Rattus norvegicus: one gene and its partners. The protein of the gene in region 1 purifies or fractionates together with the protein of each later gene. This does not show direct contact. Links are inferred from orthologs where the notes say so. Each region holds a gene or a part of one and is shown on either strand. Other genes may lie near its edges.

Region 1 (7,113 bases):
TTTGATTCACCTAGTCTGGCTAGCTCCCTACTCCACCCCCACCAGCTGGGGTGACAAGCATGTGCTATCATACCCATTTTTTTCCCTGTGGGTGCTAGAGCTTCCTGTCAACCCCTCATGATGGCACAGTAAGAATTTTGCCTCCTGAACCATTTTTTGGAGTATGTAGTTTAGAGCCTTGGGAATCTCTCTAAAAAAATTAGTTTTATAATGGTTGGCTGATAAAACCTGACTTAGTTTGAAGAACTCTTTTATTCCCCCATGCTAATGACTATTGGTATATACTTATTTCCACTTATCTAAGAAGTGGTATTAAAAGCATATTGTGAGACTTATTTTTTAATTAAAATTACATTAAGCCAGGTGCAATAGCATATGACTTTAATCTTAGGAGGCAGAGGCAGTCAGATCTCCATGAGTTCAACAGCAGCCTGGCCTGCAGAGTGGCCCAGGATCGCCAGAGCCACACCTTGTCTCTCTAACGTTGTGATTCTAATTACATCATCACTCCCCCTCCCTCCCTCCCTCCCTCCCTCCCTCCCTTCCATGTAATTTCCACTTTGCTCCATTTCAAATCCATGGTCTCCTTTTAAAGTGATTGCACACACACACACACACACTGTACGTGTATAACATCAGGGTTGATTTTTAACTTCTACAGCGTTGAAATGCCTAAAGCTGTGTTTTTCACAACTGTAAGTAGTCCTGTGGTAATCCAGAATTGATGGGCCTTATACAGTATAGCAGCTTTATTCATTATTGCGGTTTTTGCTGTGTCTTTTATAAATTTTTAGAAAACTAGAAAAGAGAAGCCAAAATCTAAGACTGACGAGGCAACAGAAGGAGTGGAAGAGGCCGCTTCCTCCAAAGTGAAAGCAGTTAAAAAGAAAGGGCCTTCTGAGGATGATGTGGGTCCCCCTAAATCCAAGAAGGCCAAGAAGCAGGAGGAGGAGCCTCAAGATGACCCTGCTTCTAAAAGCAAAACCTCCAAGAAGAAAAAGGAGCCCCTAGAGAAGAAAGCACCCTCTGCTAAAACCAAAGAAATGAAAGCCGAGGAGCCTTCTGAGGAAGAGGCAGACGCTCCTAAGCCCAAAAAGACAAAGAAAGGGAAGGAAGCAAACGGAGATGTGGGAGAGAAGAGCCCCGGGCTGAAGAATGGGCTCTCCCATCCCAAGCCAGACTCCAGCTCCACCCAAGCTCCCGGAGAGGAAAGCGAGACAGAAAAGGTGAGCCTGCCTGTGTGTGCAGGACTGCGTTCCTTCTCACTGTGGGGCCTGCGCGCGAGCACTGGGCTTAATATTTTTTCTAGGTTTATTTTATTATTTTTGTGTGTTTGGGTGTTTTACTTGGATGTGTATTTGTGTGCCTTGTTTGTACCTGGTGCCCTTTGGGTCTGCTGAAACGGGAGTTATGGATGGTTGTGAACCTCCATGTGCATTCTGGGGGTCAAACCTAGACCTCTGCAAGAACAAGTGCTTTACTGCTGAGCCACATCTCCAAACACTTGAGCGTCTGTCTGTCTCTCTCTCTCTCTCTCTCTCTCTCTCTCTCTCTCTCTCTCTCTCTCTTTCTCTCTTTCTCTCTTTCTCTCTTTCTCTCTCTCAAGTTGATTTTTATATGTGTACGTCTTGTGTATATCGTTTGCCTGCGTCTATATCACATATGTGTACTTCCGTTGCCTGTGAGTCAGCAGCCTCTGGAGTTGCGCATGGAATTGAACCCCATCCTCTCTTTTGGTTTGGTTTTTGAGACAGAGCCACTGTACATAGCCCTGGTTGTTTAGGAATCATTATGTAGACCAGGTTGGCCTGTAACTCACAGAGAGCCATCTCCTCAGGGAGTGTTGCAATTAAATGCATGTGCCACCACACTTAGCTGTGTAAGTACATTCTTAATCAAGATTGATCTCTCAGGTCCCCATTTTTTTAAATACCCTTTTTTATCACTTCCCTGTGAGGGTTTCTCTGTAACCTTAGCTGTTCTGGAACTCACTCTGTACACTAGGCTAGCCTGGAATTCTGGTTTGCCCAAGTGCTGGATCAAAGTAGTTGGCCACCACTACCGAGCTTACTGGGTTTTTGTTTTGTCTTGTTTTTTTTTTCTTTTTTTTCCTTTTCTTTTTTTCAGAGCTGGGGACCGAACCCAGGGCCTTGTGCTTGCTAGGCAAGCGCTCTACCACTGAGCTAAATCCGCAACCCCATTTTGTCTTGTTTTTTGTTTTCCTTAATGAGATCTCATTTTGTATCTCAAATGCTAAAAATAAAGGCACACCCAGGCTTCTTTATTAGGTATCAAGGCAGGTTGAGACAGGGTCTTACTGTATATATTTCCAGACTGGCCTTGGACTCACAGTACAGCACAAGAGAACACACAGTTGTGTATCTGGACGTTGGAGGAAACTGAGGGGTCTGAAGGTTGAACTCTGGTGTCTTGTCAGGTTAGTCAGGGCTTTTACTCACTAAGCCATCTACCTGCCTCTACTGATTGGTTTGTCAACTGAGGTGTTTAGGTGAGCTTTTTTTCTCCTTTTAAAAGACATTCAGGGGGGGTTGGGGATTTAGCTCAGTGGTAGAGCGCTTACCTAGGAAGCACAAGGCCCTGGGTTCGGTCCCCAGCTCCGAAAAAAAGAACCAAAAAAAAAAAAAAAAGACATTCAGGGGCTGGAGAGATGGCTCAGTGGTTAAGAGCACTGACTGCTCTTCCAGAGGTCCTGAGTTCATTTCCCAACAACCACATGGTGGCTCACAACCATCTGTAATGGGATCTGATGCCCTCTTCTGGTGTGTTTTAAGACAGGGACAGTATACCTACATATGTACAATAAGTAAATAAATTTTTCAAAGATGTATTTATTATGTATATAGCATTCTGCCTGCATGTATGCCTGCAGGCCAGAAGAGGGCACCAGATCTCATTTATAGATGGTCATGAGCCACCATGTGGTTGCTGGGAATTGAACTCAGGACCTCTGGAAGAGCAGTCAGTGCTCTTAACCATGGAGCCATCTCTCCAGCCCTAAATAAATCTTTTAAAATGTCTTTATTTATTTTTATGTATGCAAGTACACTGTTGCTCTCTTTAGACACACCAGAAGAGGGCATCTGATCCCATTACAGATGGTTGTGAGCCACCATGTGGTTGCTGGGATTTGAACTCAGGACCTGTGGAAGAGCAGTCAGTGCTCTTAACCTCTGAGCCATCTCTCCAGCCCTAAATAAATCTTTTAATGCTCAGTTTTTGTGGAAGGCTGATGCACGTACCATGGTGTGTGTGGGTGTGTGTGTGTGTGTTAGACAACTTGTAGAGTCTGTTCTCTGTGGGTTCTGCTGGTCAAACTGAGTTCTTCAGGTTTAGACAGCAAGTGTCTTTGTTCCAGAGCTGTTTGAAAATGGCTTTTCTGTTTCTCCAGAGGGCTTTCTGCATTTACTGGTATGTGAATTGCTGATTTCTGTGGTCTTTTGCTTTGATAGGAAATACCCGTGGAGCAGAAAGAAGGAGCCTTCTCTAATTTTCCCATATCAGAAGAGACTGTCAAACTTCTCAAAGGTGAGGTCCGGAGCATCATGACTCTCTCTAACAGTGCACGGAGACCTTGCTTCTTCCTGCCGGCACCTATGCTACAGTGGAGGAGACCTGTGCATTACCTCTGGGGTTGTGCTGTCTGGGGTCATTCACAAGTGTGGTGACTGGCACCTGCCCTCCCTCCTTTCCTCTCCCCCCTTTATCTCTCCCCTCCCCCCCTCTTCTGTGTGTGTGTGTGTGTGTGTGTGTGTGTGTGTGTGACCTCTGCACACCAAATAAATAAATAAGGTAGAATCCTAATTGCCCATATCTCCTCTTGCACCTGAGGTTAGCCTCTCAGGGTGTCGGGTCCTTTGCTCTGTCTGTTCTACTGAGTAGTTCAGATGCTCTCCCCAGCACAGCGTGGTGTTGAACATAGACTCCGTTTTTAAAGTTCAGGTGAGCTTGTGGGTGAGATTTGATCAAAAGTGACAACCACACTATTTAAGTTACAATCAAAAAGTTATTAGAAATAATTTCCAGTCTAGTGGATTCTTCTAGGAAGACTTCTACTAGGAATATATTGACGCTGAGACTTCATAGGTAGATGTTTGTGAAAAGGTAGAAACGGGCTGGAGAGATGGCTCAGTGGTTAAGAGCACTGACTGCTCTTCCAGAGGTCCTGAGTTCAATTCCCAGCAACCACATGGTGGCTCACAACCATCTGTAATGGGGTCCGATGCCCTCTTCTGGTGTGTCTGAAGACAGCTACAGTGTACTCATATACACTAAGTAAATAAATAAATAAATAAATAAGGTAGAATCCCCTAATTCTGCAGGACCACAAAAATGACTGTGTTTCAGTTGGGGTTGTTTTTTTTTTTTGGTTCTTTTTTTCGGAACTGGGGACCGAACCCAGGGCCTTGCGCTTCCTAGGTAAGCACTCTACCACTGAGCTAAATCCCCAGCCCTGGGGTTGTTATTTTAACAAAGCCTCAAGATTTGATCCCTAAGGCTGAAAATAAAACAAAGGTAACACAATCATTCGTTCGCAGCTCGTGGGGTGAACTTCCTCTTCCCTATACAAGCCAAGACATTCCACCATGTGTACAGTGGGAAGGACTTAATCGCCCAGGCACGCACAGGAACCGGGAAGACCTTCTCCTTTGCCATCCCTTTGATTGAGAAACTTCAAGGTGGGCTGCAAGAGAGGAAGAGAGGCCGAGCCCCTCAGGTAACTGTCACAGTGCATCACAGGCTCAGGGACAGCTCCCAGAACCTCCGAGGTCCTTGTCTCACCCTGTGTATCTGAGTAGACTGGGGCGAGTCTTTCAGACGGCTGGCCATCAAGTCTGTCATTGTCCTGTAATGTGCCGCATGGCTGCAGTCATCCATACTTACTAATGTTCATATTTCCTTTAAAGTGTTGGAGGTTCTCAGTGCTCACAGACGGGGTCCTGGGTATTTGTTTATTTTGTCATGGTCTCTAGACTTGGCTGGTACTTAGCTCACAGAGACCAGCTTGCCTCTGCCTCTCGTGCTGGCAGTGTAAAGGTTTGTCCTCCCACACCTGGTTCTGTCATTGTTTCTGCTGTTACCCAGATGTGCCCAGTGAGTAAAGAGCCTGCCTGCTGTGGTTGGAGTCCAAGCGTGGTCTCCAGTGGGTCCTTGGACTCCAGCATTTCCTCTTTAATTTCTGCCTCAAAGGTTGTTGAGCATTAATTCTGAATAAAAAATAGAAAGTACTTTGAGTCGCCTAAGGCATCAGGGAAAAATGACAGCTAATGTTGGGTGTAGCTCCTCTGGGTTCTTTTCTTGGCGGTTCTGCACTAGTCTCTGGAGCAGTGGCATGTACACACCTACTTCTGATTGCTGTGCTCACAGGTCTTAAAACACTGCCTGGGGGAAGACGGTATTCGCTCCTGGCATGTAGTATGAGATTTACCACACAGCACATGGTGACTTTTTTCCGTATTTAGCAAGATGGTTGGATGAGTCGAGCATTGTGAATTCTGCAGTGGCTGAGAGACAGTTACGACGCAGTACTTAGAAATCCTGTGCTTCTCTTCCAGGTGCTAGTCCTTGCACCTACAAGAGAATTAGCAAATCAAGTGAGCAAAGACTTCAGTGACATCACCAAAAAGCTCTCAGTAGCCTGTTTTTATGGTGGAACTCCCTATGGTGGTCAAAGTAAGTACATTCAAATGCTGGAGGAGGGTGTTGTGGGTGCCTTCTCAACTTGAAGTGTGTCATATTTTGGGGTCTCTTGCCTGCTGTTGAAGGATGGCGAAGAGAAGGGTCCTAGGTGATTTTAGGTAAGTAAGTCTTAGGGTGTTCAGTATTTATCTGATGACCAAGAGGACAGACCCAGGGTGCCCGTCTCACCCCTTCTACATGTGCATTTCTTGCTGTAGGTGGCCCTTTTTTCACAAGCATCAGCTTGGGCTATAGTCTCTTCTTCCTATCCTAGTCCTCCCTAGTCAGGATGCTGCTCTCTTGGAAAGGAGAATCAAACATCCATACACAATGAGTCTGGTTTCCATCCTCACTGACTTTGGAAGGCCTATGTTTGAATCTTGACTGATGCCATACTAATTAGATGTCCAAGTTGGTTCATTTTCCTCTTAAAGAAGGTTGTAGTAAATAACTATGGTGCCTAGTGTAGACCATAGACTACAGCAGCAGCGGTCAAAGCCTCCAGATTGCCCTCATGCCAGGCCCGGTGGGTGGGCACCACAGTCCCAGTGCTTCTAGAGCTCCCTAGAGTAGTCACCCTTCTATGCCTTCTCACTTTTACATCCAGTCACGCATGAGTGACAGCAGGGAAGAGGGCTGGGTTGAGCAGCACTCCAGACTACATACTGATATTGTGTCTCAAAAGGAATGATTCTGGTTCTCTAAGAGCATCACTTAAGGTCTGTGAAGTCCTGACATTTTCTGCCAGCCAAACAGGAAGTCATTCTTGCACCACTATTTCCCAGTAGATCATTTTCCTACTGTGTTAGCACGCTGGCCCAGCCATGCTCACAGGAGGAGCACATGAGCCTCCACTATTGTTGCTGTCATTTCTCACCACATATCACTTGGTAGTAATAGTTTGGAGTGAAATCCATTTAAATGGATTCTCCCAGCTTGGTGCAGGGAGCTTAAACGAGGCGTCTCTTGTGTGATTTTTGCAGTCGAACGAATGCGGAGTGGGATTGACATCCTGGTCGGGACCCCAGGTCGTATTAAAGACCACTTGCAGAATGGCAAGCTAGACCTCACCAAACTTAAACATGTTGTCCTGGATGAAGTTGATCAGATGTTGGATATGGGCTTTGCTGATCAAGTGGAAGAAATTTTATGTGTGGCATACAAGAAAGGTAAGCCCGAAATTTAGGGACTGATGGAGGGGACCTAGAGAAGGTTCATGGTGAGATTTTCTACTAGGAGATAATTCAGGACGCTCAGAAAAACTTGGAATATTTATTTACTTTTGTGTTTTGAGACAGGGTTTCTCTGTGTAGCCCTGGTTGTCCTGGAATTCAATCTGTTCAAGGCTGACCTTGAACTCAGAAATTCTCCTGCTCTGCTTTCTGAGTACTAGGATTAAAGGCATGGGCCTGGCTA
Region 2 (7,859 bases), on another chromosome or scaffold:
AAATACTCAGGTATGTTTGTTTTGTGTGAGTGTCACAGGACAGTTTGCGAGTATTAGTTCTCTCCTTGTATCAGTGATGGTCCTGGTTGTCATGCTTGGTGGATAGATGCCTTAAATCTGAGCAGTCTTGTTGACTCTAAGGCTAAGTTATCCTGGTTCGGGATCCTGGGTGAGAATGAACCAAAGACATTAACATGTAGCTACTTCCTCCCAGAGGAAACATTCAACAAGGGGGACAGCAGGTCTAAACAGGTACAATACTCAACAGGCTCCTCCCCAAGGCTACCTGAGCTCAGGCACTTTCCGTGGAGTTGGCAGGGCTGTGCAGAACTCCGGTGCTAGCTTTCCTGACAACCTCATGCTGGGGGAGGCCCTTCATGACACAGCTGCTTACGACAGGCAAGCCATGTCTCTGTAAGGAACATCACACGTGCCACTCTGCGTCAGCACAATAAGCTCCCCGTTCATCAGGGCAGACTGTACAATCACTCCTTTGGTCTATGGTTCCTGCCCTACCTAGGGTGAACACATTTGCCTAGCTGTCCAGAAAAATCAGACAACAAAGACAACGAACTTGTTATTGGGGACTGAAGTTACTTCTACCTCTTCTTTTTCTCATAAGACTTAAAAAAAAAAAAAAAAAAAAGAAAAAAGCTTACTGGGTTTTAATAGAAGGTCCTGGTTTGATTAACATGATCCTTTATGGTTAAAAAAAGGACTCGATCACAGTTACATGTACAGTTTAAAGAAATCGCATATAAATGTTCCTTGTTACCTGCAAGAACCACGCTTAGAGATGTTTAAGACGGTCCCTGTGATAGTTCGGTTAATCTCTTTGGACAGATTCTTTGCCAGAAGGTTTACAGATACTGGAACTCTAAAAAAACAGAGGCATCAAAACACTGGAGACACACAGAAAATCCCATACCATTAAAGTCTGGTCACTGCAAATAAACTCACTTCTTCCTCTGATAGAAATGCCTTCCTATGTGTGTGGGCAAATGCCGTCGGATTCGTTCATCAGCAATAAAGACATCAAAGCTACCCAGGAGGCGGAGCTTGGCTTCATAGGCTTTATATTCTGTTTTTAACGTCTTAAAGGGGATAATCTAGAATACAAAAACAAGCGAAACACCATAAAGCATTAAGATCTAAAACAGGAGGAGAAATACTTAACACTTCTCTTCACACCAGTCCCAGGGCTATGCATGCCTCTCTCAGATTAATGAATTCCTAAGCAGCTAAAATATGCTGGAGGCCTTGCAAAACGCCGGAAGACCCTGAGAAGAGAACAATCAAGGAGCCTGGATAAAAACCCAGCATGTCAGCCAGGCACTGAAGGAGATGACATAACTGTTCTTGACTATCTCAGGTTGAAGAATACTAACTCTGAGGGTAAGGGCAGCCGAGGCAATTGATCAAAATGCTATCTCAAACGTAATAAAATGAGCTACAGAGATAGCTTAGTGGTTAAAAGCACTGGCTGCTCTTACAGAGGACATGGGTTTGATTCCAACACCCACACAGTAGCTTGTGGCCATGTGTACCTCTCCAGGTGCAGGGAATCCAAGACTCTATTCTGGTCTACATGGGTAATTGTATGCACAAGGTGCACAGATACATGTAGACAAAACACCCAGACACTTGTTTAAAAAGCACGGGTGTTAGGGTGGGGTGGCAGCACCTGGTGTAGAGGTGTACATCTTATATCCTAGCATGAAGGAAATTGAGTTGGAGGCCAACCTGGTCTACACTGCAAGTTTGGGGTAGCATGTGCATGGTTTTGGAATCAATTCCTAGTACCAGGAGAAAGATAAAGAAACAGAGTACAAAGATAAACAAATAGTCACAAAACAGAGCCAGATGTGATGCTCTACAAGTACACGAAAAGTTGGGTTTTTAAACAATCTGGTATCATAGATGGCTCAGTACTTCGGAGCTCTGACTATATTAGAGAACCCAGAGAAACAAAACAACCTTCTACAACTCCAGCTGCAGGGAACCCCATCCTCCTGGAGGCAGTGTGCTCAAGACACTGAAAAAGATGTGAAATCTGACATGCATTTAGGTTTTCAGTTACAAATCAAAATAGTGCCTTTAGCAAAAGCAAAAGGAAATAGAGCCAACCAAAAGCAGAGACGGTAAGATTAAAAAGAGAAAGGAGGGATGGCTCAGTGGTTAAGAGCACTGACTGCTCTTCCTGAAGACCTGAGTTCAAATCCCAGCAACCACATGGTGGCTCACAACCATCTGTAATGGAATCCAATGCCCTCTTCTGGTGTGTCTGAAGTGTACAGTGTACTCATATATAATAAATAAATCTTAAAAAAAAAAAAGAGAGGGCTGGAGAGGTGGCTCAGAGGTTAAGAGCACTGACTGCTCTTCCATAGGTCCTGAGTTCAATTCCCAGCAACCACATGGTGGCTCACAACCATCCTTCTTCCCGTGTGTCTGAAGACAGCTACAGTGTATTCATATAAATAAAATAAATCTTAAAAAAAGAGAGAGAGAGAGAGAGAGAGAAAGGGGAGCTGGAGAGACGGCTTGGCAGGATTTGATGCTCCCTTGAAGGACCGGGGTTTTATTTCCAAGCACCCATGAGGCAGCTCTCACCACCTGTAATTCCAGCTCCAGGGAATCTCAATACCTTTTCTGGCCCTGGAGGACACCTGCATCCATGTGGTGCACACACACGTTAGGAATACACATTCATACCCATAAAGGGATAAGTTAAAATTACAGAGAAAGGGGGTTGGGGATTTAGCTCAGTGGTAGAGCGCTTGCCTAGGAAGCACAAGGCCCTGGGTTCGATCCCCAGCTCCGAAAAAAAAGAACCAAAAAAAAAAAAAAAAAAAAAATTACAGAGAAAGTGGACCTAAAGGACCATAAATTATAGCAGTGTATGATACTTCATTTCTAAAGTCTCTGAAAGGACTTTAACACATCAGCACACCTCCTACCTGAGAGATAGTGTTTACTCCATGCTTTTTCAAAAGCTTTTTATAGAAACCCTCTGTCTGTTCAGGTGAATCACATTCATCTTTGGTAAACAGACAGACTTCTGAGGATTCTGAGAGGATGCTATGAGGCAAAGACCTACAAAACATGACAAACAAGGAGCAAAGTGTTATTCCAGAACATGTTTATCCTCACTGAGAGCTAACGAGAACATTCAATACATACAGGCAGGCCAGATGAATCAGTGGGTGAAAACACATGCTCAATGCCATGCCCAACAACCAGAGCTCAAACTCCAGGACCAACATGGAGGGAGAGAAATGATACTGATTCACTCCCATATGTGTGCACCTAACCCTCCAGACAGATAGACAAACACACGAACAGAAATAAATGCAGTTTAAAAATATTTTAATTTATCTATTTTCATGGCATCCCTGGCTATCTTGGGACTATCTCTGAAGACAAGGCTGACTTCCAGCTAAAGAGATCTCCCTGCCTCTGTCACTTCTGGCTCTAAAAAGAAAACAATGGGCTAGAGAGACCAAATGCAGGAATCCACACATTCAGTAGTTAAGAGCATTTGCTTCTTTCCCAGGAAATCTGATTTCTGTCGCCTGTACCCACACTGGGCTGCTCATGACCTCTTGTTTCTGCAGTCCCAGGTGATCTGACACCCTCTTTTGGCTTCTGCAAGCACTGGACACATGTGGCCCACATTCTTATACTCAGACACACTCTGAGTGAGTTTTAACTTTAACCCCAGCACTCAAGAGGGAGAGGCATATATATTACTGTGAGTTTGGAGCCAGGCAAGCCTTAGTAACAACCAAACCAGCGGAAAAACAAATGAAACAAAACAATGAAACAAACAGATAAATTACTTACACTCTGATCCTAAGTTCTTTCTTTGGAATTTTCCATAGTATCACCATTAAAAACAGATTTTCACTCCCATTCAACAGCAATTCATTATTTTTTCTGGACTTGGAGTTATCAAACAGAACTTCTACTGCCTTTCTTATCTGCAGAGACAGAAAAATCGATTAATTTCCTCAATCTATGTTAATTGCTTCCATACAGATATATTTGTTTCCTTTGCTCCTTTGGGGGGCTAAGGTTTCAAGAGAGGACTTTTCTGTATATCTTTGACTGTCCTGGAATATAGTTCAGGCTGGCATCCTACTGAAAAGATTCGCCTGCCTGTCTCCGGAGGGCTGGGATTAAAGGCATGTACCGCTACGCCTGGCGCTCCTCTTTCTATTAAGCAAATTCCATCAGCTTATTAGGATCTTACAATTTGTACCCAGTGCAACTTAAGAATGCATTTAAAACATCTAAGTACCTTGGATCTGTTTACAAGTTGTCTTTTCTACGTAAGAGAAAAAGCTATTCAGAAGCTTCTCCTGCCCTCTACGGGAAAGGAAACGATCAGGAAAAGCGAATAGTGCTAGGAGCATTTATTGTGCGTCATGTGCTCAGGGCTGCTAAAAACACTTTGTGCACGTACATATGACCCGTAATGCTGCAGGACGGAGCGCAGAAGCCCACTTTCAACAGGAGGCAAACAGGCCGTAAGTGTGGGAAAAGCGAGACTGCTGGGGTGCGTTTTCAGAGGCCTGCCTCGAGCTCCTGGAAGCCAACGCAGTCGTGGGCCCACTTGATTTCCTGGCCTCTTGCCCCACACCCTGCACCACCCTGCTTCCGACTCGTTGTCCCCGAAAGCCACTCGCCTGCTCTCTGTCCAGCTGTTCAAGAGCGGTCGGTTCCGCTTGCACCTCGGTGGTGGTCGCCGTAGCGGCCGAGGCATCGGGAGACTCGGACGCTAAGCACTTCATGCCGCCTCGTGTGGAATTCAGGAGTCAGAATGCCTGCGCACGCGAAGCCCCCAAACCCGGAACCGGAAGGCAGAGGGTGGGACTGCAGGAGACCAGTGGTGTCATTTCCGGTAAGGCAGCGTAATTAGATGCTGTGGCTGTCCTCGGAACTAGTTGTTGAGGACTGAAGCGGTGCCTAGAGTATTCCAGTGGAAAAGTCTCCCTTGCGTCCGGCTCTTTCTGAGGCTCCAGGCCTCGCAAACCCTGTCGCTCCTCTCCGGAGAACACTGAGAGAGCGCCCTAAGGAGAGGCCAGAGCCCTGTCTTCGATCCCGTGCAGTCTTCCGAAGAGCGGGAAGCCGTGGCTTCCCACCTTGTTGTGACTTCAGGCGTCGGTTTCCCCAAATTGGTGGTGTTCCCATGAAATAAAGAGGAACCGCCAACACTAGGCGCGTGATGCTGCGCGAGAAACGAAAAAATGAGTCGGTCTTTCAGGAGTTTCGGCCCAGGTAAGACCCTAAGTGAGTATGAAGGGATAACTCGTAGAATACTGTCAGAACGTTTTAAGAGTGGTTAGTTACCAAGCATACCCACTGTGCTGGTTTCGCGTAATACAGTGTATTTGAGGTTGTTCTCAGTCAGTACAAGGCGCTCAGAGTGGTACCACCAGTTTTTATTTTCGTTTGGTTCGAGACAGGGTCTCTACTATGGCAGTTCTGGCTGTTCTGGAATTCTCTGTGTATACCAGTCTGACCTCGAACTCACTGAGATCCTCCTGCTTCAGGTTGCAGAGTGCTAGGATTAAAAGCATCTACCAATACTCCCCCACTTAAGTCAGGATTTTCCTATATAGCCAGGATTACCTAAGTGAGCCTCCTTCCCTACCTCTCACAAGCTAGATTTACAATGGTGAGCAAATCCCTATCCTCCAACTTGTACCCGCACAGAGACATAATTTATTTAGGAACTTTTACGTGGATGTTAAGGATAGTGACAGGCCCCCCTCAGCTAGCTGTGTGGGAATAAAATGTTCTCTCTCCATTGTCAGTTTTCCAAAAGTGCTCCTTGAAAAATCATACTCTGCTAGTGTCTGCTGAGGACTTTGTCTTAATTTAACTTGTAGAATGCACTTTTAGAAAAGTCATTGGCACCTGCTTCTACTTGTCTCTTTGAGAATCTGGTATAGGACGGACTTTTAGCATATTGCAATGAGTTGGGCTTGAGGCATGCAGTCTTCCTGACATACTCCAAAGAGCATTAGTGGTCTTAGATGTTCTCTTACCTGTATTCAAGTTTGAGAACCAGACTTTTTTGGTTTTTGAAGACAGAATTTCTCTGTGAACAGCCTTGGCTGTCCAGGATCTCTCCTTGTAGGCCAGGCTGGTCTTAAACTCATAGAAATCTGCCTGCCTCTGTTGCCCAGGTGCTGGGATTAGACTTTTTTGTTGCTGTTGTTGTTGGTTTGTTCCAAGAGATTTATTATTTTTATTTTATGTGTGGATGTTTTACTTGCATGTATGTCTGTGCACCACATGTGAGCAGTGCTGGTGGAGGCCAGAAGAGAGTCTTAGATCATCCTAGAACTGGAATTACAGATGGTTAGAAACCACCACGTGGATGCTAAGAGTCAAAACTGTAGTCTTTTGGGAGAGCAAGCAGTACTCAAGTCCCAAGCACCAGACTTTTGGGCCAAGGAAATTACACAAATTCAGATGGTAGATCCTGGAGGCGTTTGGAAACAATAAGTGACTAGAGCCAAAGAATTGCAAAAGAGATGGATATGAGGCTATTAAAACTGACAAAGGAACTAGTTATCAAACTGCAGTTACACGTGAAAGAAAAAGTACTAGTAGCAAAGGAAAAGTGATGAATTACACCTTTAGTGTAGTTGGTAAAGTTGGTCTGGCTGTGGTATTGCAAGAAGAAAGATCTAGAACTCTTTGGTAATCTTACTTTCAAGTAATGGGGCTTCAACATACACACCCCACATTTTCACCGTGAGCTGATAGTGACTTGGTTCTTCCTACTAGTGTATTGGAAACATAAGATGTCAAACATGGCCTGAGCGGCCTTTTACAGAGGGATTGCCGTGACTTCTAAGCCATGCTTGGCTGCAGAGCAGTACTCTCACCCCAGTGTCAGTTCTGACGTTAGTGTGATTACTATCATGCATGTAAGTTTTGTCTTTACAACTCCCTCTCATTCACTCATTTGTAAGGTGGCCCTAGAGAGAGGGAAGCCAGACGAGACGATATGCTGTGAGGCTACTTTGTCAACCAGCTAGCCACCACATGCATGAAGGTGGGAGCAAAGCCTTCTCTGCAGACACGAGAGACTCCAAGTCAGAAGCAGCCAGCTATGCTGCTCCAGCTTTCTCATAAACACTGAAGAAGCCTTTGTTAATTTTAGCTACCAAAGGGGGTGATTTGTTCTCTATCAATTGGTGTTTGATAGAAATTTATAGTCCTCCCATGTACATATTCAACTGTGTAATCAATATTTGCATTTTTGTATCTCACATTTACCAAGATTTACCATGAACTCATATGATCCCCTCAACTTGCTTCCCATGTATTTCCTTTCTCGGTATTGAGTACTTCTAAGACAAATTGAATTATTTTTAAGTCTTTTCTCCTCATCCCTCAATTTGATGAATAGTAGTTTGCAATGTGGATTTGGTGGCTCACATCCCTAACACCAGGGCTTCGAATTATAGAATTAGGAATTTCAAAGTAAGCCTTAGATACCTGGCATGTTTAAGGCCAGTCTAAGCTACATGAAACCATCTACAAACAAAACTGTGGAGATACATGGAAACCTAGATAATCCACAAATTTCTGAGCATGAATTATTGGACAAATGGATAATACTAATAATTAATAGGATTTAAAATGAAGAAAAAGGAACAGATTTAGAAGCTCTATCTAGGTAATTCTGGGATGCAGAAAAAGATGTTTCTGAGTAAAGAAGAAAGCTTAGACATCATCTTCATAGGGATGGTTACAGCTATGGAAATATGGAAATAGATGAGAAATACAGAGCCAAAACAGAGCCATCATGAAATCTTTAATTGTGGATTAGAAGA
Region 3 (7,808 bases), on another chromosome or scaffold:
AGATTGGCCCCTGTCTGTTTGGGGGGGAATCACTAATATTTCCCTGGCAATACAGTGCTTTCCAGCAAGTTTGTTTTCTTTTTTTTTTAAAGATTTATTTATTTATTATACATAAGCACACTGTAGCTGTCTTCAGACACACAAGAAGAGGGCATCAGATCCCACTACAGATGGTTGTGAGCCACCATGTGGTTGCTGGGATTTGAACTCAGGACCTCTGGAATAGCAGTCATTGCTCTTAACCACTGAGCCATCTCTCCAGCCCACAAGTTTGTTTTCTTCTGTATTTAGAGACTACCGATTTTCTTCCAAGGTCCACACACTTTTTTTTTTTTTTTTTTGGTTATTGTTGTTGTAATTTTGTTACTGGCTCTCACTGTGTAGCCCTGGCTGAGCCTGAAACTTGTTCTGTAGACCAGAATGGCTTTGTACTCAGAGATCTGCTCTGCTCTGCCTCTCTAGGGTTGGGATTAAAGGTGTGTGCTGACATGTCCAGACTGGGTTTGTTTTTATGTGAGGAATACTTTGGACATTAGTTAGGCACTGTAATCCTAGCGGTTGAGAGACCGAGGCAGGAGGATCATCTAGAACAGTTAGTTCTTTTTTTTTTTTCCGGGGCTGGGGAACCGAACACCAGGACCTTGCGCTTCCTAGGTAAGCGCTCTACCACTGAGCCAAATCCCCAACCCGGAGTTAGTTATTTTAATGGCTGTAGAGGCACCTACCTTTAATTCCAGCACCCAGGAGGCAGAGGTATTCGGATCTCTCTGAATTTGAGGGCAGCCAGAGCTAAATAATAAGACCCCGTTTCAAAAAAAAACAAAAAACAAAAAACAAAACCCAACCCCTCCCCCAAATAAACAAAAACCCACCAAAATTTATTATTTTGTGTGTAAAATATGCACATTTTACCCAGTGGGCATCTGCACTGCCCTGAACTGCCTTTTTTTTTTTTTTTTCTTTTTTTCGGAGCTGGGGACCGAACCCAGGGCCTTGCACTTGCTAGGCAAGAGCTCTACCACTGAGCTAAATCCCCAACCCCCTATTTTTTTTTAACGTTTTTTTATTATTTGTAAGTACATTGTAGATGTACAGTATGAACCTACATATTTTTATGTGGCCTACTTAGCACAGGGTTGGTTGGGAACCAGAAGGTTGGGCTGGTTTTGGTACTGGAACTCAATGTCACTGAATTTTACAAGAAGCAAACTAAGGAGACCTGATTGGGATAAAAGAGTCTCCCAAGATCTGGGTAAGTCAGAGGAGGGTCTCTCTAGCTACAGCAGATAGCATTGTGAATTCATGCAAAGTCAGCCACAGTGCTGTGGCAAGGAGACTGAGTTGTTAGGCAAACTATTTATTTATTTATTTATTTATTTAATTTTTTGTTTTTTTGAGACAGAGTTTCTGTCTGTAGCCCTGGCTGTTTTGGAACTCAAGAGATCCACCTCTCTCTGCCTCTCCAAGGGCTGAGATTAAAATGTCTGTGCCACTACCACCTGGCTAGGGTTTTTTCTGTGTGTGTGTGTGTGTGTGTGTGTGTGTGTGTGTGTGTACTTTTGGGGTAGAGATGGAACCTAGAGCCTTGGGTATCTAGCTATGATGTCTACCTAGGTGCTTCAATCACAGGCATCACTTAAAATAAGCCGCAGAGGATCCCATAACCTCTGACAAGGATCCCATCTTTCTAGTACTAAAGACCTCTCTCCCCTGCCTCCCATAAGAGGGCTGTTACAGGGCTGGAGAGATGGCTATCAGTTAAGAGCAGTTATTATTCTTGAAGAGGACCTGTCTCACAACTGCCTATAACTCCTGCACCAGGCAGGAAGTGACAGCACTGGACTCAGTGGACACCTGAACTCACACGCTCATACATACCATGCACACTCACACATACACGCACACGCGCGCAAGAAAATTAAGAAAACCCAAGAGGGCGAATAGAAAAGTTACATCATGAGTGGGAGATGGAGCTCAGTGCTAGAAGTTTGCTTCAATCTCCAGGACCACATCAAAGAAACCAACACCAGCCTCTTGTCCACAGAAGCACACTCAGTTTAGAGCTCCGTGAAAGCAACCAGAAAGTACTTGGTGCTTGTCTTAAAACAGAATCAGACTTCATTTACTGTGCTTTCCCCAGTAGAATGTAAACTCCATGAGGGCCGGGACTTGTGCATTCTCACTGTATTTTCAGTTTCTGACCTTGTACACAGCAGCAGGTTAACAAATGTTAGTATAGGAAGAAGGAGTGAACGCAGGAAGGAAACATAAAGCCTGGACAAGAAAGGAAGTTAGGCCTGCTTTCCCTGCCGAACCGGAGCTCCTGGGAAACTACAACTCCCAGTACACCTTGGACTCAACGCAGCGGTGCCTGGCCCCCGTTGGTCTTACGTGCCTAGAGAGCGCATGCTGGACGCGGCGCCTGCTGGGACTTGTGGTTCCTGCCACGGTGGGGGGGGTGGGGCCGGCATGGAGGCGGGCGGGGGCCGGGGGCGGGCGCGGCCCCTCCCCCGTCACTTCCTGCCGGGCTGCAGGCGCCGAGCCACTCTTCAGCGTTTGCGCTGGCTGTCGTCGCGTCTGTGTGCGCTCCCCCTTCTTCTGACCCCCGGCCCGGCGGCGCCCGCCTTCTCCGCAGCCACTCCGTCTCTTCCCTCCCCCGGTCTTTTTTTCCTCGCCCTCTTCTTTTGCTTTTCTTCCTCGCCGCCGCCCAATACCGCCGGCCCCGGGACGAGCTCTGGGGAAGCAGCCAGGTAAGGCGCTCGGGTCGGGCCGGGCCGAGCAGCGGAAGGACCCACGCAGGCACGGCGTCAGCGGGAGGTGGGCGGCGGGTGGGCTAGGCCTCGAGGGCGCGGGAGCTGCGGCCCAGGCTCATCTCCGCCCGCGGGGCCTTCCCGGAGGAGGCGGGCCCTCCGCGCTGCTCGTGGGCCCAGTGCGGGAGTTAACGCGGGGGTCGCGGGCAGGGGCTGGGCCGGTCGGCAGGCCACCAGGTTTCGGTGCTGTGCACAGTGTTGCGGCCACTGCGGAGCTGTGGGATAAGGTGCCAATTCCCGGCTCTGTCCCCTTAGCAAGTCACTTCGTACTCTTTGTGTCTCTGTTGTGAGGGGGAAAAGGAGGGGGAAGAGTATTAATCCTGTCCCAACCCCGTCCCTGCCTCTTCAGGCTGTGAAGTTGCAGTGAAATGGGGCGTGTAAAGCGCTTATCAGTGTGCCAGACCCACACCGTGTCCCAATAAACCGTTTGCATAATTTATTAACGTGGTATGAAAGTATAATTTAGGCTTCAGACTGGACAGAAGTTGACCTACCTTCCCATTTGGGTTTTCTCCGAGGCAGAAGAATCCCTCGTGCCCACTGCCAGTGCCTGGGCATTGTGCTTGCTTGGCACCAGAAAGGGGCGCGCGCTTAATGGGGACACTGTAGCAGACAGGTTATGGATGTAAAGCCATCCTTTCTGTAGAACCAGTTTCAGGCACTTCACTGGCTCCCGTAGGCTCCGCAACCTGTCCCATGTTTCCTTGCCACCACCCAGAACGTTATTGTCATTCCTTTTTATGAGAAAGTTGCTGGCATAAGCTCCCCTTGGGTTCAGCAGACCTTTTTGGAGCCCTCTTGTGTGTCAGGTTCTGGAGGTGGAGTATGCAAAGATGCTAAAACCGTGCTTTCTTGGTCCACATCTGTAGTTCTTCACTTTCTTTAGCTGAGCTTCGATTTCACTCCCGGTACCTATCCGTTTCCCTTAAACTCTGGCCGCACCTCCGTCCTTGTGGCAGTATTGCTGGTCTGAAGCTTTATCTTGTACCCTTTTGCATTTTGCCCATGTATTGTGTGCCTTTTAAAGGTCACTATTTTCAACTGCTTATAGCTGAAATTCTGTTTCTGTTTTTTTGCTTGCTTGTTTGTTTTTTTCTGAGATGTGGTTTCTCTGTGCAGCCCAGGCTGTCCTGGAACTTGCTCTGTAGCCCAGTCTGGGTAACTGTAATTCTTGAGAATTGGAAGTGTTGGAAGAGATTTAAACTAGGATTTTGGTCTTTCAGGGATCTGTGCTTACCAAATGCAAATTACATCACTACTTGTTGAAGTAAAAACTAAAAATACATTTGGGGAGTGTGGAGGGAGAAGTCTTGGTCATTCTAGTGAACTTTTAGTAGACTCTTTATTCTGACTCAGCCTTTCTCTTTTCTTTAGTAAGATTAAGTACTCTTTTTTTTTTTTTTTTTTTTTGGTTCTTTTTTTCGGAGCTGGGGACCGAACCCAGGGCCTTGTGCTTCTTAGGTAAGCGCTCTACCACTGAGCTAAATCCCCAACCCCTTGTTTTTGTTTTTAAATCTGTGCTTAGTGTCATAGGTGTCCTCCTCCTTAAAGAAACACAGCTGGTACAGGAGCAGATTTATAAGAGCAATTCAGTGTGTGTTTTCTGTGCTCAATGCTCTTCTACATGGAGGCCGGAGGTCAACTTCTGGTGTCTTGTCTTCCTTGACGGCTCTCTACCTAATTTCCTGGAACAGACTCTGAGGGTTGCTGCCTTTCCTGGGCTACTCATCTCTTCAGCCTCTCGGCAGATTGTTTTAGGCAGTAAGTTTCTTTAATAAGTGGAGAATGTTTATATCACACCCATCTGATATTGCATGGCTGTGTCTGTGTTTTTGACATCTTCCTAGTGTTTTTGTAATGTCAGGAAATAGTTTCTAGCGTCCATTGTTGAGTGTAATGGCTTTTCTCTTTGTTTGTTTGTTTGTTTGTTTTGGATTTTTTTGTTTTTAGAGACCAGGGTTTCTCTGGGTAACATAGCCCTGACTGTCCAGGAACTTGCTTTGTAGACCAGGCTGGCCTTGGACAGAGAGGTCACCCTGCCTCTGCCTTTGGAGGAGTCCTGGGATCAAAGGCATTCAATATTTGTCTGCTTTTCAATTAGTCATTAATAGTTCAGGAACTGTTGATTCAGTCCTTAAGGAGTAAGGCTGAAATCTGGGCTGAAAAGTGGCATTCTCCTAGAGAAGGGGAGTCCGCTAATTCTGCAGCTGTTTTCCTGCTGTGTATTAATCATATGTCAGCCAAGAAACCAGACCCCAAAAGAAAGAAAAAAAAAAAAAAAAAAAAAAAGAGAAAGCGCAGTCAGTTCTAGTATACAAGAAATGTCATTTCATTGACAGATTAACAGTCAGCCTGATATGACCTGGTTAAAGTCAAAATGACTAAGATTATGATAGATTTAGGATTTGTTTTCAAAACAAGCTAGTTTAAAGGAGGGAGTTCAAGAAGAGACAAGATGGACCTTAACTATGAGTTAATAATTATCAAAGCTGGGTGACCAAATACACAGTGCCCTCTATAGCATTCAACTTTAATACTTAAAAACAAGACAACTGGGGTTGGGGATTTAGCTTAGTGGTAGAGCGCTTGCCTAGCAAGCACAAGGCCCTGGGTTCAGTCCCCAGCTCTGGAAAAAAAGAAAAGAAGAGAAAAAAAAAAAAAAAAACCAAGACAACCTCAGGTTCTCTGTCACAGCCTTAACTGTTACCTCACTGGATCTGTCATATTAGTGATATGGTAAAGGATATTCTTGGCGCTGTTAGCAGAATTGTTTGTTTAGGGACTGTTCAGAGGTAGGCTCTGTATAGCCAGACATTACACAGAGACCGACAGAGAGTCTAAATTTGAGGTCTGTATCTGCTTTTTCCACTCAGATCTGGGAACCTCATGGAAGAGTGGGAGGAAAAATTGTAGGAGTCACAGGGGGTGGAGGATACCAGAGCAAGGCCCACTGAATCAACCAAACAGGATGTGTGCAGGCTGGGCCTGCAAGGTCTGCACAGGCTGAGCCTGCATGGTCTGCACAGGCTGAGCCTGCATGGTCTGCACTGGGGTCTTTGCAAACATGTTGTAGCTGTTAGCTTGGTGTGGGAGCAGTTTTGTCTCTGACTCTTTTGCCAGTTCTTGGGACTCTTTCCTCCCTGTAGGATTGCCTTGTCCAGCTTTGGGAGGGCATTTGTCTTACTTTATTATATCTTGTTTTGTTGTGTTTAGTTGTTGTCTTTTGGAGGCCTGGTGTCTTCTAAAGGGAGGTTCTGGAGGAAACAGGAGGTGAGGAGGTGAGTTAGGAGGAGTGGAAGGAAGGGAAACTGTGGGTAGGTTGTATTATTGTATGAAAGAAAATTCTATTTTCAGTAAACATAAACCAACAACAAAAAGATGACTCTGTCTAAAGCAAAACAAAAAGGAGAAATAAACAAAACTTGCCTTCTAGAACCCTCAGGCTGTATACAGTCCTAGCTATTAGGGAAGCTGAGGCAGCTGCCTGGGCAGCTGTGGTGAGAAAGACCCTGTCTCAGAGTAGAAGGAAAAGGGCCTTAGGGCTATAGCTCAGTGGTAGGCCCTTGCCTAACACACACAAGGCTGCAGGCTTAAACTCTACTGCAAGCTCCCCAAAAGTGGTTGAATTGCTGTGCGGTATTTACAAACAACAGATTGGCTGAATGCTAAGAACCTTAGCACTGTGACCAGGATGCAACTCCAAGTTAGAGACTATATTTTCCCTTGTCTGAAAGCAAAGGTCTTTTACAGAGATGAGATTGACCAGAATGTTGTAAATGTTCTGCCGTTGCTCAATTTTCTCTGTAACTTTGTTATTTCTTCGCTCAGAGCTTGGTCAGTACAGTGCCAGTGTTCTGTGGTTTCAGTTGTTCCAGCCTGGGTGGTGGGAGGGGGATGTCTGTTCACATTAATTTAGGATCTTGTCCCTAATCCCAGAATTTATGGCTAAGAAGGAATAAAACATTTAAGAACAATGGTCCTTCCCCATTAGCCTTAAAGTAAAACTTTGGAGTACTTAGAATTTTTACTGTACTTGTAGTCTCTTCAGAGTAGATGCATCCAGAAAGCTCATTTATATACATATTATTTTAAGTTTATATGTGGACCTGACTCCTGAATCCCAGATTCCCTAGTCTGAAGCCAAACCAGAGCATTGCTCTTGCTGTAATCATGGCAGGTCAGACAGTAGGAGCCCAGTGTGACACCTTTCCTGGACTCACGTGAACACAGTGTCTTCAGAACTGACCTGCTCAGTTCCCCAGGCTGTGGGTTTTTGAAATACATAAACCTTTTAGTTTTGTCTTGGACAATCTGTTTACAGTTATATAGTCTGACTGCTTTCCTCACCACCCCTCCCAGCTAGGGTGTTAGGATCTCCAGACAGGCCATCTTAAGCGACGGTCACTGTTGCTTCCCTTGGATGACAGCTTTTGGAATTGCTTGTAAAGCATTCTTTCAGCCTGAAGTTGTAGAGACATCAAACTGTTGACTAAGATTTCCGTGACTTGTAACACATGGGACCTGTAATGGATAAAGTGTTTGTGGAATTTTCTGTGTTTTTTGTTTTTAACAAAAGCAAAAAACGTCTTTCTAGAATCCCAGCTGTAGTGCTTATGCTGCTCTAAGATACAGACGGACGAACATGAGAAGACCTGTGAGTTGCTGTGGTTACTTTCTCCCAACATTTTATTACAAAGTTTTAAACACATACCAAAGTTTCTGAAATTTTAGTCCTGGCCCCTTTAAGTACCACCTTCCTTACCACATCACCAACTCCACTTGCACTGGCGTGCTTGTCTGTTTCACGACGTACTTGTCTGTCCCACGTGATGTCCACTAAGGATTGTTAACTTAGCTGTTCTGCTGTGCTGAGGTGGGCCTAGGGCCTTGCTTAAAATAGGCAAAAGCTCTACCGATAAGCGACATCACCAGCTGTTAAGGTTGATTTTATTTACTTTATTTATTTTTTAGTTTTTTTCTTTTTGAGATAGGGTCTCA
Region 4 (7,573 bases), on another chromosome or scaffold:
TTCAGTCTCACAGTTCTACTGACTCTTGACAAAGCTTTTGAGGTCCTCAAGAAAGGTGATATATTCCTGGTGCTCCAGGGCTGTGCTGAGCTCCACCAACTCATCTGCAAAAGTGTTATCCACCCCTCGGTCCGCAAGGAAATCCATTAGGTGGTCATACAAGGCCTGCGGAGAGAAACATACTAGCCTGAAAAACAACAGAACAAAACCAAAGTGGTTTGGCAAGGTCCTCTGACCTTCCCATGTGGTCCAGTGCATGTGTGCAAACAACAGTTTTCCCTCCTGTAAGGCTACTTCCTCCCTTCTCTGCAAAAGCCAAGCACCAGCCCCTCTCAGCCAGCACTCACCCAGTCCAGGGAGTCTGTGTTGAGTGTGTAGTTTGTATCCCTCCACTCAGAGTCACCAGTGGTCTGAAAGCTCACTTCCTTAATAGAGAAAATGTCACTCTCGGCCTCATCTTCGTGTCCGATCTGAGAGACAGCAAAGGTAAGTAAGTGAAGTGCCAAGAGGACCTGCAGTTCCAGCCCTGCTCCCACCCCACTCTCACCATCTTCCCCTCTGGTCTAGACTACCAGACCTTTCCCGCGCATGCTACACAGGTCAGGAGACTCCACCCTACCAACCTCGTCCTCAGGATAGTGGCAGTCCAGTACAAGGGTCTTCTTGCCATCAGTCTTTGTAACTTCAACCACAAAATTGGGAGTTGATGTCAGTTCTGGCTGGAGAGACAGGAATAAGTCAGCACATGCCAGTGTTGGTAGGGTGCCCCAGGAAGTTCAGAATGTCCGACAGCCACGCCATTAGGTTATTATTACCCATTTCTTAGCCTTAGGCAGTGGATAAGGCACTCAAATCTTCCAACAGCCCTAAACAGGTTATCAATCACATGGGTTTAGAATGGCATCTCTGCTCCCCCACACTGCTGAAGCACAGACCTAGACCTCCTTCCCCTTTGACTGTTTTGGTACAGGATCAGAGCCTGGAACATAGGGGCTCTAGCTAAGTGGCCACCTTAACAGAAATGGCAGAACCTTCCCTTTACTGTGACCCAAAGGACGGGCCCAGGCAGCGGATAAGGAGTTGGGTACAGGCTAGGATAGAAGCACAACAGGGAACTCCGCTCTTCATGCTTGTCAGTACACAAGACTGCCATCTGCTTAGTCAGATGGCCTGGGGATCCTGTAGCCCCCTCAGTGGTTGGCTCCTAGGCCAGGCACACTATTTCTAAAATGTCTGAATACTATCTAGACCCAGTCACGAGGGCCAGCAACTAAAGGAAAAATCTCAACTGATCAAATGTTAAAAATCTCTTAAGGCTGAGCTGGCAAGGTGGTTCACCGGTGTTTGCTGCCAAAGCCTGATGTTTAACCCTGGAACCCACATGGCAGAAGGATGGAATTGACGTTCCTATAAGTTGCTTTTGACCTCTACAATTGCACGCATAAGCCCCAAACATACAAATAAACACAATTTAAAAAGCCCCGCCCCCGGCCTTCCTATTTTGGTCACATGACTAGTGTTGATTACCCACTTGTCATCTTTCACACTGAAAACACTCCAAACGATAGCTTCTGGATACTAAGTATCCCCACTCCCCAACACTGGCAGGGGTGAGGGCACAGGCCCGTGATAAACCCTAAGCCCTTAGGGGACAACACTCTACAAACATGGTCCATCCACAACTCCAGCTAAAACTCACTCGGAATGACTGCATTACAGGTCTCAGGAGGCTCACCCTTCACCTCACCCTAGCAGGGAGGATTTTAAAAAGAGTGAAAGTGAAACAGTTCTTGCTTTTGGGGACAGAAATCTTGGCTGTCTGCCATGTCACTGCTTACCTCCTGCTCTTCGGCCTTCTGCCCCTGTGAGGGCTCCTCTTCACCATCAAAGGTTGGAGGGATGCTATTGTTAATGTTGAAAGTGACAGTGATCCTAGAAAGGCAGGTAGAGATACACCAAGGTACACATTAACCTAGTGGTAACAGGAGAGCAAGGCCCACTGAAACAATGTCTCCATCCTAGCCACACAGGGAAGTGAAGAGAATTTCATCTGAAGTGTACCTACAAGTTAAATGACTACAGCTGTGGATGAAGCTGCCAGGTTGGTGTCCTGGGGTCTTCCCATGGAAGCTAATGGAGGTGGACAGCCATCTGCCCCGGAAAGCCTCACAGCCACTGCAGAGCAGATTCACTTTGCACAACCACAAACTAGGAACTGAAACACCTAGTGGCTTCTTTCCCTTCTGGGGGGATTCTGGAGCTCAAATAAGTACCCTGCCCATGCTTGGCGGAAGTTCACAGCTGCACCCTGGCCCTTGTGTGACTGTAAGAATTCTTATGTGATGGACAGCACCTGTTCTAAAGTCAGAGACAGTTCCTTTGTCTCAACACCTGGAAAAGAAGTTCCGCTTACACAGATTCAGAGGGCCAACCAACCCAAGAAGAGTGTACTGGGGGCTGCTCCCTGGAGTCCAACTGGGCAATGCCTTGCTGCCACTTTGCCCCCGAAAAAAGAATGGCAAGGTGAACCAAAGGGCATGTACAACCTGCGATAGCCCAGACTAAACCTACTTCTTCCTTCCCTCCCTCCTTCCCTCTCTTATTTTGGTTTTTCAAGACAGGACTTATTTGTGTAGCCTTGGCTGTCTTAGTACTTGCTGGTGGACCAGGCTGGCTTTGAACTTACAGAAATCTACCTGTCTATGCCTCCCAGGGTGATAGAATTAAAGGCGGTGAGCCCCACCGACACTCAGCCTGGCCTTGAACTTTCTAATCTACACACACACACTTACTGCTAAGCTTATAAACCCCCGCACCCCCAATAAAACTTTCTTGTACACTGTGCTCCTGAAGCACTGGGGATGGATCCTGGAGCCTCACACAAGCTAGAGAAGCACTTAAGAGTCCAAGTAGACTTAGCCAAGGAAGACTGTGGGTGAATGGGTAACACGAAACAGCACAGACAAGGGTTTAACGGTTTTAGGGGTGCCAGGTGTGGTGGCGCATGTCTGCAACCTCAGCACACAGGTGTCTGAAGCAGCAGGACCCAGAGTCTGAGCCCAGTCTATGCTACACAGCAGCCACACAGAGACCTTGTCTCAAACCGAATCCCTTGAGGAGAGGAAGAGCTAAGTTTGGCTAAGAACCTTCTCCCTTTGTCTGATGGCCTTTCTACATGGTAACTTCTTCCTGTGACTTAACAGTTACACACGTGCACTTTCAACTATTATAAACACAAGCCAGACGGGAGTTCTAAACAAATGATTTACCAGTACTATTAAACAACAAAACAACAACCCAATGCTTAATCCAGACTGGCACAGCACCCCTCATTAATAACCCAATAACTGCGTTTGCCCCTCCCACAGGCTTCCCTCTACATACTCTGGAGCTGCTTCAGGTCTCCTTAATACAAGCCATAGAAGCTTGTATTCATTCAGTGAATGCACTCCCTGGAACCTAAGAACTTTCCCAAGTTTAATGCTTTCTTAAAGCCATTTTATCAAAGCATTGGGCCTAAGCTCAGGCTCTTCTGGGGATGGTCAGAACAGGATGCTGTAACCAGGAACTTCTGACTTGAGAATCCAGTATACAACCCCTGGGCCAGTACTTACTTTTCTCCGGCAACTTTGCGCAATAATTTAGCCTCCGTGCCGTTCACTTCCAGCTCCCAATCTCCAGACATTTTGGGAAGGGACTTATGCTTCTGGATCTTCTTTTCTTCCTTAATTTCATCAGTCAAAAATTCAACAAAGGCCTTGTCTCCTAAAAGAAAGGCCAAAATGATCAACAGTGAGAAAAGGTAGTTGCTCTAACCGATTGACTCGGACTGCGTGTAATCTATTCTTAAGGCTGTTCTAAGACTGTAGCGTAAATCACGCCTCAAAACGTCCGTTCCTCACTCTATAAAAACACCAGGATATATTTACTGAGCTGAACTGATATTACTTATCATGAGATGGTTATTTCTCATCATGAACTCATTACTATTACTTCCCGTATAAAACAAAAGAATTTCCAACTATCCTCTTCCATGTCCAAAAAGACGTGGACCCAACAACCACACTTTGAAACCACGACCCTACCGACTTTGCTAAGCCACATTTTCAAGACGCGAGAAGGGGAACCTGCGATCATGAGGGCCAGTTCCGAGCTGGATCGCCGCATTCCGACTAGGGTGCGTGAACCTTACCTTCCGTGTGCAGAGCGCCGCAGCCGCACGCGCAGGGAACCGGGGGCTGCAGGAGGCCAGAGCGCCGAGCGGAGCCGGCTCGTACGCTGAGCAAACCGAAGGGCCGGAGGCATGGCCGGGGCGCGGGCTGCAGTAAATGCCGAAGCGGCGGGGCCGGGATGGAGGCTCGGAGGCCCGTGGCGGCGGCACCCAGGGCGCGGGGCACGCAGCGCAGCAGAGGGAGCATCGCGGGGTGGACACGTGCAAAGGGAAGGACGACCGGGCCAAGACACCGTGTGACCTCGCGAGCCGCCGGAAGCCCCGCCCTCGCCCGGGAAGCGCTATCCACGTCGGAGGACTGCAGTACCCGGGCCGGACCGCACCGCGCCCTCTGCTGGGAGCCGCCAGCGCAGCCCGAGAGGCCTTGGCTCAGCTGTATTCTACCCTGGCCATCAAATCTCCCTTGCTGCCCGTTCTCCCCAATTCACCTGCTTTTCTCAACCCAAGCCACACTTTGTTACTTCGTGGAATACGCTCAGGTCTCATCCCAACAAAGATCACTTAGCGGTCTTCTGAAACCGCCTAGTTCTGAAAAGCTCAGACTGACCTGCATGCAGCTGCTGTGGAGTGGGCATCCAGGCCTCACATTAGACCCAGAATCCCAAGAACAGGATGAAGGATTTATGCTGGAAACCTCTGCACCCCCTAACAATTCGTGTACCGGTTTTAATGGACCATCGTTTTTTTTTGGGGGGGGGGGAGCAGGAATAGATGGCTTTCATCATCACATTTAGGTTGAGAATCAGGGATAACAGGCTGGAGACAGGGCTCAGTGGTTAAGAGCACTGTTGCTCTTACAGAGGCCTGGAGTTCTATTGCCAGCATCCACACGCCTTCTCACAACCATCTACCTCCAGTTCCAGGGCAGCAGACACCCTCTTTTGACTTTTACCAACACCATGAACGAACGTAGTGCAGACATGCAGGCAAAACTCTCAAGGACATTAGAAACACACACACACAAAACAAAACCAACAAAATCCAAAACCCAACCCAAGAAACAAAAACAAAATTTAACCAACCGAATTTCACACACACACACACACACACACACACACACACACACACACACACACACACACACCCCAAAAACCCCGCTCATGCTCTCTGGTCCTAGCATCTGGGAGGTAGAGGCAAACAGCCGAGTTTAAGGTCAGCCTGGTTACACAGCATGTTCCAGAACAGCCAGGGTTACATAAAAGACCTCTCAAAACACCAAAAGCAAATGTTGGATACCGAGTCTTACTGAATGAATGGCAATGAAACTACTGTTTAATATTCTAAACAGCATTCTTTAAATAAGGGAAAGGAGGCCCAAAATAAGAGGCCACACAGATCGTATACAAGATTCAGGTTTTTATGGACTTAATAGTCAAAAGTAATTTTTGAGCATTATATACAAGAACTGTTTCTTATGTTTGAGATCAGAGAGATTAGAGTGCAAGTCCAAATCCACTTCTTATTTTTCTACACTACAGCAATCGATATAAAATTGTTTCCTCACAGGTATAGTCTAGCTTATGTGCTCAAGGAATGGCATCTTAGATGCATGGCCACAGTTCCAAACAGGTCCTGGTAGGTAGCTGCAGACAAGGATTGTGTCACAGTAAATATGTTGCTGTGTTTTGGAATTCTGTTACAAGAGAGCAAAGGCTCTCACAGGGGACTGGTAATGAAACTTGTCCCGGGTGTCGTGGCCATGGTTACAGAGAAGATAAACACCGGCAGGACGCAGGGCTGCTAACTGAAGTCCAGCTGCTTGTTGGAGGCTAGTCTGTGCAGACTGGAGTCTTCATGTTGGAGAGTTTGCCAACTGGAAAAGCAGCTTAGGTTGTACTGTAGTAAAATCACCAAACATTTCACTTTCTGAAGGAAGCTTGAAGAGTGCTGTCCCTTCGGCTTAAGACAAGCATTAACTTCTTTGTAGTGATCTGTGGAGTCAGAATGGGGTTCCCACCTGATGTAATCCCTGAGCAACTGTGTTGAAAGGTAATTTTTTAAAAAGCTTAATAAAAAACTAAATACTCTATTAGAATTCTCCCACAATGTTTGGGTGGTAAGCAGATTTCTGTACAGATACGTTAGTTATGTAGAAACGGTATCCTTCACTCCTTTTTCTGGGGAGCCCCAGTCCTCTCTGCAGCAGTCCCTCCAGGTTAAAGTCCTAGGCCTCCTCTGGAGCCAGCCACTGCAATCTACGTTTCCTTTAACCCAGAAAACACCTCTTAAGTTTACTAAGGAACAGAAACTGTCCATTGCTGAGGAATATATTACCTACTCCTTGTTTTCTTTAATTAGCATAATGAGTGCTCTATTAAAAATACAAAAGTTCCTCTTGCCAAGCAAGGTTAAATAAACCTTGCATAAATACAAAAATACACTTAAAAAGAAAACACATTCTGGAGAGCATTTCAGACAGTTGATAATGTGACCATTTTATCAAAGAAATAGTCGCAAGTACTCAGACAACCCTAAGTCCTGGCTAAAAGCTTGACTAACCATGGCTAGGGTTATAATAAAGCCTAGACCAGACTCAACAGACACAGCTGTGGACCAATGAGATCCTGGCAATGGAAGTGCCCAGTCAGGCTACGCTCTCTGGAAAGAGCTTGTTGGACCCAGTGAAGAAAGTGGCCACTGTCTTCGAAGTGCCTTGAAGGTAGTTTGGCCCATTGCTTATAAACAGTACAATTCATTGTATAAATGAGAAAATCCTAGTAGTACAGATGTGTTTGGATCAATTAAGCACAATAAAAGGGCTAGCTGCACCCCCCAACTCCCCCAGGTTCAAACATTCTCTGTGAAAGTGTGCTTCCCAGCTTCCTTCACTTAGATACAAGGCCTACCCCAGGCTGGCCTAGAACTTGCAGCCCTCCCATCTCAGCTGGGATTATAGGTATGTACCACCATACCGGGGAATGTTTGCTCCTGATAATCAGCTAAGAGGAATATTTTCCAATTGGGAAAAGGATGTGGAGGCTTTTCTTATTCACTCTAACAAATGGAGAAAACAAAGGTTCGAGAGTGGTGACTCGGTAGGAAGTAGCAAAGCTAATTGTCCCCAGGTCTTTGCAAAGAAGACAGACCACTGAAAATTAATGAGATCAAAAACACAAAGACTGGCCAGGGGTGGTGCACGCCCTTAATCCCAGCACTTGGGAGTAAAAGGCAGGCAGATCTCTGGGCTTGAGGCCAGCATGGTCTATAGAGTGAGTTTCAGGACAGGCAGGGCTACACGGAGAAACCCTGTCTCAAGTAGTTTACAACCAACTAACCAACCACCAAAACTAAGACTAGGTGTAGGAGGAAGGACAAACTGATGCTCTGGCTTCGGAGCCACGA

What was found.
Region 2: the proteins of Ddx21 (region 1) and Rsl1d1 purify together in Homo sapiens (affinity purification with mass spectrometry; 3 studies listed by BioGRID and IntAct, with this or other methods). This does not show direct contact. The link is inferred for Rattus norvegicus from reciprocal best matches to the Homo sapiens genes DDX21 and RSL1D1.
Region 3: the proteins of Ddx21 (region 1) and Stau1 purify together in Homo sapiens (affinity purification with mass spectrometry; 4 studies listed by BioGRID and IntAct, with this or other methods). This does not show direct contact. The link is inferred for Rattus norvegicus from reciprocal best matches to the Homo sapiens genes DDX21 and STAU1.
Region 4: the proteins of Ddx21 (region 1) and C1qbp purify together in Homo sapiens (co-immunoprecipitation; 3 studies listed by BioGRID and IntAct, with this or other methods). This does not show direct contact. The link is inferred for Rattus norvegicus from reciprocal best matches to the Homo sapiens genes DDX21 and C1QBP.

Annotation. Positions count from the first base shown.
Region 1 is NC_086038.1:31,088,449-31,095,561, reverse strand, and holds part of Ddx21 (nucleolar RNA helicase 2), read left to right. Parts: intron 1-794; coding exon 795-1,226; intron 1,227-3,470; coding exon 3,471-3,546; intron 3,547-4,556; coding exon 4,557-4,735; intron 4,736-5,573; coding exon 5,574-5,691; intron 5,692-6,680; coding exon 6,681-6,866; intron 6,867-7,113.
Region 2 is NC_086028.1:4,928,827-4,936,685, reverse strand, and holds the start of Rsl1d1 (ribosomal L1 domain-containing protein 1), read right to left. Parts: upstream 4,848-7,859; 5' UTR 4,797-4,847; coding exon 4,692-4,796; intron 3,984-4,691; coding exon 3,847-3,983; intron 3,097-3,846; coding exon 2,961-3,096; intron 1,110-2,960; coding exon 961-1,109; intron 878-960; coding exon 776-877; intron 1-775. UniProt on the Homo sapiens protein: Regulates cellular senescence through inhibition of PTEN translation. Acts as a pro-apoptotic regulator in response to DNA damage.
Region 3 is NC_086021.1:176,139,710-176,147,517, reverse strand, and holds the start of Stau1 (double-stranded RNA-binding protein Staufen homolog 1), read left to right. Parts: upstream 1-2,570; 5' UTR 2,571-2,750; intron 2,751-7,808. UniProt on the Homo sapiens protein: Binds double-stranded RNA (regardless of the sequence) and tubulin.
Region 4 is NC_086028.1:56,198,767-56,206,339, forward strand, and holds the start of C1qbp (complement component 1 Q subcomponent-binding protein, mitochondrial precursor), read right to left. Parts: upstream 4,420-7,573; 5' UTR 4,419-4,419; coding exon 4,193-4,418; intron 3,766-4,192; coding exon 3,615-3,765; intron 1,933-3,614; coding exon 1,839-1,932; intron 720-1,838; coding exon 624-719; intron 471-623; coding exon 348-470; intron 166-347; coding exon 16-165; 3' UTR 1-15.